Linked DNA regions of Caenorhabditis elegans. The protein of the gene in region 2 purifies or fractionates together with the protein of the main gene of each other region. This does not show direct contact. Each region holds a gene or a part of one and is shown on either strand. Other genes may lie near its edges.

What was found.
Region 1: the proteins of irg-4 (region 2) and cutl-15 fractionate together in Caenorhabditis elegans (co-fractionation; one large-scale study listed by BioGRID). This does not show direct contact.

What each region holds. Positions count from the first base shown.
Region 1 is NC_003280.10:8,942,120-8,949,372, reverse strand, and holds cutl-15 (ZP domain-containing protein), read left to right. Parts: upstream 1-1,684; 5' UTR 1,685-1,788; coding exon 1,789-1,907; intron 1,908-2,810; exon of another isoform or gene 2,811-2,955; intron 2,956-4,614; coding exon 4,615-4,711; intron 4,712-4,763; coding exon 4,764-4,831; intron 4,832-4,874; coding exon 4,875-5,160; intron 5,161-5,283; coding exon 5,284-5,546; intron 5,547-5,701; coding exon 5,702-5,948; intron 5,949-6,407; coding exon 6,408-6,485; 3' UTR 6,486-6,717; downstream 6,718-7,253. Other genes in the region: T21B10.4 (uncharacterized protein), read right to left, coding at 6,935-7,036, 7,081-7,253.
Region 2 is NC_003282.8:12,434,109-12,438,751, forward strand, and holds irg-4 (CUB-like domain-containing protein), read left to right. Parts: upstream 1-1,724; 5' UTR 1,725-1,742; coding exon 1,743-1,794; intron 1,795-1,838; coding exon 1,839-1,948; intron 1,949-2,001; coding exon 2,002-2,114; intron 2,115-2,159; coding exon 2,160-2,278; intron 2,279-2,326; coding exon 2,327-2,439; intron 2,440-2,825; coding exon 2,826-3,185; intron 3,186-3,911; coding exon 3,912-4,082; 3' UTR 4,083-4,128; downstream 4,129-4,643. Other genes in the region: clec-184 (C-type lectin domain-containing protein), read left to right, coding at 1-67, 114-210, 673-893; clec-185 (C-type lectin domain-containing protein), read left to right, coding at 4,571-4,643.

The DNA.
Region 1 (7,253 bases), on a different chromosome or scaffold from region 2:
TATGGCAGATACAATCTATATAAAAATAAGTTTAAAGATTGTATTCTTTGATATTTCCAAAATAATTATACTGTTAGTTATCATAATTTTAAATTACGGGTTTACTAAAAAATACTTTTGTATATATAAATTGACATTGACCACTCATTTCCTTTTCCAGGCCTTCATTTTGCTATTTGTAATAATTCGGAAAACATGGAAATGACAGCATTCTTCATCTTTTTTCCCCAGTTATCTTCTGGTTTGGTTTGCATAGTTTCCTTCTAAAATATCAACGGTTTTTATTCTTAATTTCCATTCTTACAAACCATCTCGTTTATCTGTCTGGATTGCGCAAGCTTCTGCTTCGTTTTTCCACCGTTTTTTAATGTTCAATGTGTACCGCCCATCTCATCTGATCACCTTCTTCTTATTGTTGTTCCTGCATCATCATCATCGTTATCCATTCCACTCCTCAAATCACTATTACGCATTAATTATGTCACATTTATTGGAGAGAAAGCATCACATCTTTTGGAAAAGCATTACATATCCCTTTTACAAAGATAATCTAATTTCAGTCCGAATAGGATTCACATTTCAGATGAATAGAAAAAGACGAAGAATACGAAAAATGTAAAGAGTATAAGAAAGAGCAGAGGTTGAATTCTAAACTCTAGATCCAATACAGCTTAACGTAGTTTTGGTATTCCTCACCGCCTATTCATTTTCAGTCCTCTAGGCCTTTTCAGTCCAATGTTTTACTTCTGAAATAATTTATATTCATCATAGGCCCTTGGATTCAAAAATTAAATTGGGTAAAGTTTGAATTTTACATTTTCCGCTCAAGTTTAAAAGATCTCCAAATATCTTATAGCTAATCATTCCCAAACATTGATTTTGAAATTTTTTTTATTTTAATCCAAGAAGTATGTCTATACTATTGACATTTTGATAACGCTCGTTTTTTAAAAGTTTACTATAAACTTTTTCTCGATTATTTCATCACAACCTTTTTCAACATTTTGCTGAAATATTCATTTTACGACCTAATTTCTCACCTATTCAACTTTCGATTTCCTTTACATGTTTCAATCATTTTTCACTTTTCACTCAATTTATAAACCCACAGGAGTTTTTAATCAAGTCAAGTTGTTCAAGACGTCGTAAATAAGCCACATTATGTATTGCCAAATATTTGTTTGTCAGTGTGAAATGGAAATGACCATGTGTTATAAGTATAGATAATGACACAAATTATACGCTTTCTGCCGCTTTTGAGTGTATCAGGAAAATGAAAAGAATTGAGTGGTATCTCTTTCTGAGAGCATGTTGAAAATATTTTCCAGTTTTTCCAGTTCTTCCAAATTAGAGTGGTGAGGAATTGATTTGAATTTGAAAAGCTGACAATGAAAGTTTTTATGAATTTTGCTCAGAATTGCTCAAATGACTGAAAATGCGGGTTACAAGAAATCCTTGGAGGCCTTCAGCATTTTCCCGATTTTTTGCAAGTCTCTACCAATTCGTTTCAATGTTTCTGACCAGTCTGACACCTTTTTGTGTTTTCTGGCTTCTCATAAATATTCTTCAGAATTTTCTCACCTTTTCACCTTTTTCGTTGACATGTCTAATTCTCTTCTTCTCATACAATATCTCTTCTCCTCTCCATTTTCTCTCTTACACACCAAAATAAACGTTTTTGTGGGCGTGGCCGTCATCGTCCCCTAGTCGTTGTCGCGGCGGCACACCAGAATTGGAGCCCACGGCTCGTGTTGTGGCGATTCTCCAAATAAAGCACATAAATCGGTGATGAACTGGCGATTCTCGATGCTTTTGCTGCTTTTATTGTGTTTCGACGGACCCGGTATCAAGTGTCAAGATGAAGAACCAACGCCGAGAAATGAGGTTCTAGGAGAGCCTACGGTCAGGTTAGTTGAGGTTTTTGATTCGAAATGGGGTTATTGTATATTAACGATTATTCAGTGACCAATTCCCTCAATAATGACCATGGTGGGGCAACTATTTTTGAGTCATTCGCACTTAGTGAATGCAAAAGCGCCAGCAATGAGCCAAGTTATTGAAGCTCAAAGTTTGTACATTTTTGTCGGACACTCACCTGTCGAAAAGTTGCCCTTATTTTTTATTTCTGTCAAGAATGCAATTTCCGGATTTAATATAGGAAGAGGCAGAAAATTTAATTATGTTTTCATCTAAATAATATCGTCGGTTTTGCGTGAAATTTTTTAGCCTCAAATGTGATGAAGCCGGCAGACGTAAATCTATAGATTTTTTTTCTCGAAAGTGACCATTGTGATTTTTGACATTATTGTATAGCTTGTAAAGCACCTGTAGCCTAATAAACAACTCACGGAAATTTACTCAAAATTAGCTTTGATATTTTTAGTATTTTAGGAAAAATGTTTTTGGTGACCTATATCAATGATCCGTTTTCGAATTAGGTTTAATTTGCCAGTTTGTGGTCAAGCTCAACATTTTCCTAATAAAAAGTTTAGAAAAAAATCGCACAATATGATTGGCTCTAACATTAGTTCTAACTAATTTTAAACGCATATTTCTGCTATTGGCGCAATTCATTTTATTCCAAAATTTAAAACAGCTTAAAGATTTTCTGAACTATCCAGAATACCACCGAAACTCAGAAATTCAACTTTAATTTCCTGAAGCTTCCCTTAAGCTTGTGGAAATTAAAACAGAAGTAATCAACTAAAATCTATCCCATCTTTCAAGATTAGCTGCAATCGTACATATCCTATCCTTTTGAGAGCTCTATTTTTAATGTAGACGCTGCTTCTTTTTCTTGCTTTCCTTTACGTACGTTTGGTGTCACAATGCGCAGGATTAATGGCTTCGAAAGGGGTTTCCAAAAGGCGAAGAGTATCACATTTGCATATTTGACCGCCTAAACGGAATGTTGAAGTTAGTGTATTGGAAGAAGAAGCGCAGAGGTTTTAGGCAAAAAGGAAATCAAATGGGTTTCTGAACGGAAGTTTGTTTCGTAAAGAATGAAGGAAATAAGAAAATGACAAAAAGAGGCGACATATGTCAGACAAAGAGTACTGTAGATTTTGAACTTTGAAGTCTGAACTTAATATCCGTGCGGTATCTTTTCAAAACCAGGATATACAGTTCCACTGTATTAGTATTGTCATTTTCCAAATTTCATTTTGTTTGCCAGATTGCTCAAATTTCACGTTTTTCATTCAAATCGGGCTCGGTAAAATTTTCTTGAGCATATTTGTATAGTACAGGTAAATACACAGATTTTTCATGCCTTTCGCTTTTTGAATTGTGATGAAAGATACATTAAAATGGGGTTTTTTGACTTATCGTTAAGAGCAAGAAGTTAAAATAATCGAGCGAAAACTTAGGTATTTATTAGATGTTGAACTATCTCCCGATAGGTATCAATCACACAAACCAGATTTTCAAAGTTAGAAATCAGAATTGATTTTTTTGACAAAGATGTTTTTCTTTCTATTTTCTTAAGCTTATTTTCTAGAAAAGCCAATAACAAAAAAGATAAAAGTGACCAAATTTTGGTAAATAATATTGTGTATATATTAGTAGACCCAATTTTTGTGTCAAACGTATAATAACAATTGGTTTGCACATGCATCCAATCATGTATATTTTGACCCTACACCATCATGTTACTCTGGGTCGGAAGCCGTCATTCAGTGGTCGAAATCGAATGCCATTTCATTTCATTTTATGCAATACCAAACAACAAGACAGCTCCATGCAAAAAGGGGAGCCTGCTCAAACATTTGTACTGCGTCTCTTGATTCAAAAGACTATTTCAAGATTCTTCCGTAAAAACCTCATCATCTTTCGAGTATTTTATATTAAAATTGCACCACCGATTTACATATTAGTTTGCGGAAAGTATGAGTTTTTATGAAAAGTGGGTCTGAAATGTTGATCCTTGATCAAGATATCGAGCAAGAAAAAAGGATAAGGTAGCAAAAAAGAAAACGACGAGTTGATTCAATTTTGGGACGAAGAAGAGCAGGGTTTCAAACTCGATTGCGGTTTCAAAATGACGGAAAGGAAAGAAAAAGAAGAATAGGTTGAGAATAGAAAATACGGAATATATGTATTTGACACAAAAACGAAGAAAAAACATGTTTTTGAAAGTAAAAAGGAAGGAGAAGTTGAAGATGAATTTGAATATTTCTTTGAAGGGATTGAAAATGCCTGCCTAGGCATTTGTAACTTGTTTCGAAGGCAACCTACATCTACTTTAACGTTGTTTCCTAGGATTTGCTCAACAAATATTTTTGAAATGCTCATGTACCTAGTAATTTCTTCTTTTTTTATAAACCTTATTTAAAATTTGAAACATCTAATCTTGCCTACCTTTTAATATTTTTTCACATAAAAAGAATTCGTAATTTTCAATTAGGAAACAATTGTTAAAACTTTATGATCAGTTGACCTGAAACCTGATCAGTCTCAGATCCAATTTTTGGTAGTGTCTTTTGATAATTTAGGTTCCAATATCTAGAAACCAAAAATATAAAAATTATTATAAAACAGATACGGTTTAATAAAAAAAATAGTTATCAAACACTCAATTTTCTGATTTCTGAGTTATTTCAACATACATTCCAGTTGCGCAGCAGATGCAATCTACGTTAAGCTTCGCACAAAATCAACATTTCTGGGTCATGTGGATGTTAAGTATTCTCCAGACAAAGCATGCTTTCAGGTAACGGAATCATAAAAATACAAGAAATTTCATAACCCGTGAGGCTTTGCAGAGCCTCGTGACAAATAATCAAATTGAGATTCTGATTCCCCATGAGGAATGTATGGTGCCACGGAGGAGGTATGTTTTAGTTAAATTATATTTCAACTGTAAATATTTTCAGAAGTCTGCACCCAACAGGAGTAATTCTAGAAGTATCTTTATCAGTTTCATTTCATCCAGAATTCACAACTGTAGATGATCGAATATTTAATATGCAATGTTTCCATCAAAAGAAAATAAATGGAACATCAACTTCCTTGGCAATTGGATCTCCAAAACCTCCTCCATCAGATACCAAAGGACCAAGTTGTTCATATGAAGTATTAACAAGTCCCGGAGGGTTACCTGCCGGTCGGTTGGCTCTTGGACAAGACGTTTATCATTCATGGCAGTGCCAAAATGTTTATGTAAGTTTTTGAAAAATTTTAAAAATGTTTATTTTTATGAAGTAATTCTGGGTTTTTTTTCTGAAAACAGTCACCAGTATCGTTCGTAAATGTTCAAATTGACCAACGTACTAAGTTTTGTAGGAGTCATGCATAATGATCGAAAACTGTGAGCTTGTTGGTGGTGAAGAAACTCACGAAGTAATCGATTCATCTGGATGTTCAAAACATGAATCAATAATGCCACAACTTGAATATCACAATCGAACTCATGTGGGAACATCTGTTAAAGTATTTGGAGTATCTCATACTTCAATTGTATATTTTGCATGTCAAGTCCGTCTTCATCCACAACTTCCAACTGGGGAATGCCCTAAACCAAAATGTGATTTGATGAGGAGGAAAAGGTAAGAAAATTGATCTTATGGACCGTTAGTTTATTAGGCATTCTGATAATTTTTGAAAATTTGGTATTATTTAAAGTGAGAGTAGCGTCGGGAGATTTTTCCGCTAAATGAATCCTTATCTTGACGAAATATTTTACAATTAAAACCATTTTCAGAGAAGACTCATCTCAATTTCCATCCATTGATGTTCGAAGTCAAAATCTAGAAATATCTCAATTGATCAACATCACATCATCTACAATGACTCCACACCCAACAGAACCACCAATTCAACACACATGTCCGGATATCCACGTGGAAACTGAATCAATTGAAGAGGCTTCAGAATCGAAGGCACTTGACGAAGAAAGAATATGTGCAGATTTTAGATCAGTTCTAGTTGTTAGTATTTTATTAACAGTGGTGAGTACTTACCAAGTTTTTCTACGGTTTTCGTAATTTTCAAAAATCTCGTATGATTTTGAAGGAACCAAGAAAAAGTTAAGATGTCTATTACTTATCAATTTTCCGATTTCTTGCCCAAAAATACGGTCTCGACACGACCAATGTTTCAAATGCAAACGTGTTTCATTAAGGAGTACTATACTTCCAAATTTTTTTGTTGAATCTTTTATCAAATTAAATAAATAGTTAGTAATGCTTGCATTATTATTTTAACTTTTCTTACTTTATAGTTTTTCAAAGACTTTTGAGGCAACAGGAGAGAAGTTATAAAAAAGTGACAAGTTGGGAAGTACAGTACTCCTCGGAGGCGCACACACTTTGGAGTTCAAATAATCAGTCGTGGCGAGACCATGTTTGATACTTTCAGAGCAGACATCGCTGAAAAGCCTGAATTTTTATATTAATTTTCATTTTCAGGCCTTAATCCTGATCACAACGACAATTGTGATTCTCATTGTTCGCCGACAAAAATATGAAATCGCCAGCATGTCATAATTTGCTCATTTTGTCATTTTTGCTCCATTTTCCAACTCCGATCTCATTTTGTTATCTTTGACATTTTCTCTCTCTCACTTTTCTGACTTTCTCTCTTTACGGATTCTCTTTTCCGGTGCGCCTTTGGCCATTCCCATTGACCTATGTTCTTATCTGCCATCACAGGGTTCTTTTTTCTTAAACTTATTTATTTTGGTTGGAAAAGCAATGAAAGTTTTCCTCACAATTCAAAAATTACAAAATAAATTAGAACTGCAGAGGAGATGTGCAAAAGGAATGGAACAGGGGTAAATGAATAACAAATAAAACTGAATAACAAATAAAACTCAAGTAAGTTGATGTGTGATAGGAGATGGGAAGAACAGTATACTATTATATAAAAAGGGACAGTGAACAGGTTTTGAGTTAATTGCTAGAACTGAAAATGATAAAAGTGTGGGGAAAATAAATTAATTCCATTTGTCGACAGAAACATCGAGAAGAGCAGGATCGTAGTATGCTGATTGGAAACTTCTTTGCTTGGCGACAAATAGAGATGCCTCCGTTTCGAACTGGAAAATATAATATTTTTAAAGAAAAATCGACGATATTTAACCTCAGTGGGAAGAGCTCTCTCTTCAATTGCCACGAAAGTAGAACGAAGCCAGTAGATGTAGACGTAGAGAAGCATGATAATCATAAACATGATGATACAGACAACGAGCAGCCACATTACAACATTTGTTGGCTCGTCTTCAAAAACTTGCTTGGAAATGAGGTACGCTTTCT
Region 2 (4,643 bases):
AATTCCAATAACTTGCACATCCAATTGCCCGGTTCCAGCGGTTAATTTCAAGGGTTTATGCTACAAGGTAACATTTTCAAAGAATCTGAAATGAGGAAATGGATTTTTTTCAGATGTGCCGGGGTCTTGTAAAGTTCGAAGACAGCTGTACATGGTGTAATGGAACAATGGCTACAATTTCTAGTGGAGAAGAAAATGATTTTGTTTCCAGTAAGAATTTCAATTAGGTTATGGTGACCAAGGGTGTCAAGTCCCTTATCCCGTTTATCGCGTTGTCCCGTTTTTTGTGTGTTTTCACGGAAACGGGACGTCCCGCTGTCCCGTTTTTGTAATTTTTACGGGACATTGACACCCTTGATGACCGACATCTCCCGGGTATTTACAGTTTTTTAAACGAAAACAAAAATAGAAAATTGTTTCAAAAATTGGAAAGTTTGCTGCGTGCCCTGGGAAAAAAAACTCGGCCATATTTATAGGCAGGCAAAAATTCAGGCGTACTTGACCTACAAGCTTGCCTACCGCTTATTTTCTGAATTTTTTCCCATATTTGCGCACTGTAGATTAACCATTTTCTCAGTTAAATTAGTTTTGCAAATCCAATAAAAAAAAACGTTCAAGTGTACTCTTAACGAAGGCACTGGAAAATACCACCATTTCTGTTCGATTTTTAAGGGGTCTTTGGATCAAATGATGAGACAACACGTCAAATCTGGATTGGCAACACTGAATCCAGTGGTTATCTAAACTGGTCTCAAGGCCAACCTACAAAACCGAATGATGGCTTGGATTATTGTATTTCAATGGACTTGAGTGCAGGATCTACTAGAGGAAAATATAAATATTTACCATGTCAGAGTACAGTTATTAATTCGTTATGTGTAATGAATCCTTGAATAATTGACTTGTCAAATGAACAATTTTATCAAATCTCAGACAATCAGAAAACCACTCAATTAATAATCTGCTTTTAGAACATTACCTGATTTTTCTCATCACATTCAAAATGAAATCATATTGATCTACTGCTTATCAGTTTGCGACAAACTGTCCTGAAAATCCAACTATTCTGTGGTATTTGTAGTACATCCTCCAAAAAAAAATCAAGTCATTGAAATTATTTCATTTTGTGCAGAAAAGTGCAGAAAAATGCTCTCATTTAAAAACATTTGAGTATTTTGGATATAAAAAGTGGCAAAATTAATTATGTAGAACCATTCATTATTAGTTGAAAATGAAGGAAATAACAAAAATTGGTCGTTGATTCAATTCAATTTTGCACCGGGTACACTCAAATCTTCCCGCATAAAATCAGGTTTGGTAGTACTGAATTAGCATAGGTACCCAGAATCGGAAAACATGTGAACAGTACATGAAGAAGACTAGACAGGAAACATTTATTGTGAATTAAAAATTATTCCAAAGCGCGGTGGAGCATTATCTGAAAGTCTACAAAACCACAGCCCACACAACTATTATCAGAAATGTCTTATCAGATTTAAAATGAAATCAGATTCAAAAATTGATATGGATGCTTATCAGTTTGTGCCAAACTGTCCTAAAAAATCAAACTATTGTGTAGATTCTGTATACACATCCTCCAAAAAAGATCAAATCATTGAAATGATTTCATTTTGGCCGCGGAAGAGCAGAAAAACGGTGACATTAAAGAGCATTTGAGATAACCGATTCGAATATAAAAAAGTTGAAATTAAATATGTAGAACTATTCATTATCAATTGACAATGAAGACATTATTGTGGTTTTTAGTCTTCGTTGGAGTTTCGAATGCGTTAGGTAAGCTTACTGATGGTAAAACTAGAATATCAGCTCTTTTTTAGACTGCACTCAAATTCCGGCTGGTGGTATTGTCCCTAGACATAATGCGACTATTCCAGCGGGAGCCAAGGAACCAGTGCTAATTCCACCAAACTTTAATTGTCTTTATAATGTAAGTAGGGACGGTGTTTTCAGGGTGTTTTACTATTAAAAACTCCTTTCTAGATCAAAGTTCCAGCTATGGTATATGCTCGTGTTGTTCTGGAAAACGGATTGAATGGAAACAATGATCAGATAACTGTTACAAATGAGCAAAACGCGAAGACATTCATCAACAGGTAGGCTTTGAAATGTAACATTTAAAACAGGAATTTTAATTTTAGTCGTTCTGGAAAGTATGCAACTTTCTATGTATTTCCAAATACTCTCACAAGTTTCCTAGTTTCCACGAAAAGTGTTAATATGCACTCATCGTTCCGAATGGTGGTTGACTATTATTCATGTAAGTACAAATATGAGTAATCTGAAATATTTCGAAACAACATTTCAGTGAACAACGCGACAGTTACTTATTTGGACAACCCAGATATGCAATATTCTCGCTTGTACACTTTGCAAGCTGAAATCGGCTGGAGCCCACGAACCATTGTGGCAAAGGAGAGGGTGGGGAATTTTTAATTTGAATTTATTAGCAACTTTGAAAATTTTCTCTCCCACGAAACATTTTTAATCAAAATTTTCGTCCAAAACTATTTAATTATTTTGATTCAATAATTAAAATTATTTTCGATAAATCGACACGCATATTATGCATATATCAAACGAAAACTTGCGTAGTTATAGTTAGCTTTTTCGTTCACTTTACTATTTTTGTGTTCCAAAAATATAGCGATTTACCGAGTATGCCGACTACGGCAAAAATTGATCCGCGAGAGTGTAGGCATGAAAAGTGCGTTGTTCGCCGTGCAGGCAGTCATATCTTAATTATGCATAGAAACCTCAAGAAGACCCAACTTTACAAAAAAACTTCTTCCTACTTCGTAATTCAGATGTCCATTTCCATCGCATACTCCGGCTGGACACCCTATGACAATTTGTACAACTTTTTCTTGATTGAAGGAGATTTGGAGAACCCATTAGCAATCTACCGTATGACTCAATTTTTGTACCAAAACTATATCAGTAAAGGAAACAAAGTTACTGTTCTTGGATTGGATAACACGTTTTCGAGAAGCTCAATTGTATTTGTCCCACTGTCACAAGCTCAACAATATGATTCATATACAGCGGCAAGTGGCTATATGAATCTGAATCAAGTGGATATTGATGCAACTGTCGGAGAAAAGAAAAAGAAAATTGTCACAATGATTTCAATGCGAGATTATGTTATGATTTGGAAAATGGAAAAGGTGAGAACATGAAGGTGGAGTAGCGTGAATTTAGCTCCAAATACGCTCTCCACCAAAACTTTTCAAAATTGTTTTTTTTTTCAATTTTGCTTAAATTTTTAAAAGAGCTAATTATTGTTGAATTGAATTTTTTGAACTAAAATAAAATATAAATTTCACAAAACTAGATCACTCATTTGCCCGAGAATTCAAAACTAATTCAGCCCATTTTTGTTGCAAAATTGAAAAAGTCATAAACATTTTTGAAAAATTCTATACTATTTTTACAGTTAAATTAGGAACATTATGCATGTTTTGTGTCATTTAGGAAACCTGTAATGTAAAGTAATGGGCAAAATATTTTTGCTGTTGACAAAACTATTATTAACTTTACTGTAAAAAATAACATATTGCTGGCTCGTTTTGGATTATAATTTGAAAATTGAAAGAAAATTGAATGAAGCCTTGCACAAAATTGATCAAGATTTAAAGTTTTGGTTTTTTGAAAATCCTGACCAAATCAATTCTCTAAAATTTTCTAATATAAGACTAGTAGTTCAAATTTAAAAAAAATGTTTTCATCTAAAAATGTTCCAGTTCCTAGTGAAAATTTAAAAAAAAGAAGTAGGGAATTTAAAAAAAGTTTATTAATTTCCATTAAACATAAAACATTAAAAATTAAGCATCCTAAAATTTTCTAAATACGAATAATGCTTAAAGCTATTTTCGCATTTTTCAAAATTCCAGACAAGTAACCCTGACTGTGTTCTGAAAGCAATTACATCTCCTCCAACAAGTGAATCAAAAGTGCTTCTCGATTTCTCGGTCGAAACCCAATTCCCGACAAACATCACTCGTCCATCGTTTTGCATTATTGCTGAAAACTGTGCTGCGTCGATCCAATTTATTGTTCTTTAAATAAAATATCGATTAAATTGTGTTTTAAATAAATATTATCATCTGCAAATTTTCATAATTTTATTTCATAAAAAATAAATTGAAACTCATTAATTAATATTATTGATAATGAAAACTCGATGAGAAAAAAATGTTAAATAAATAATCAATAAATTAATTTAAAAAAACATCGCCCGCATTTTAAAGCTCCTTAAAAGTGTAGATTCCGACCTTGTCAAAAATATTTCTTAATCACAAACATTCTCTCAAAGACTACAATTTTTCATAGTTTTCAGAAATTTTTGAACACTTCGGCAGTTCCAGTCATCATCAATCGTGCAAGTTCATGATTTATTTTCCAATTGGTCTTTGTACAAATTCTCAATTGAACTTTTGCGTCTAGCAATTTTTTGAAACCAAAAGATTAGTGTGGGTGGGGGTATGTGCCAAATACCGATGTGAATGTAATAGAAAATCTGAATAATTCACAGTAGGTCACAGATTTTGAAATGCCAGACATGGTTTTTCGTATTATTCTCGTCGTTTCTTGTTTTACATCGTTTTCTTGCAAGCCGAAAGTCA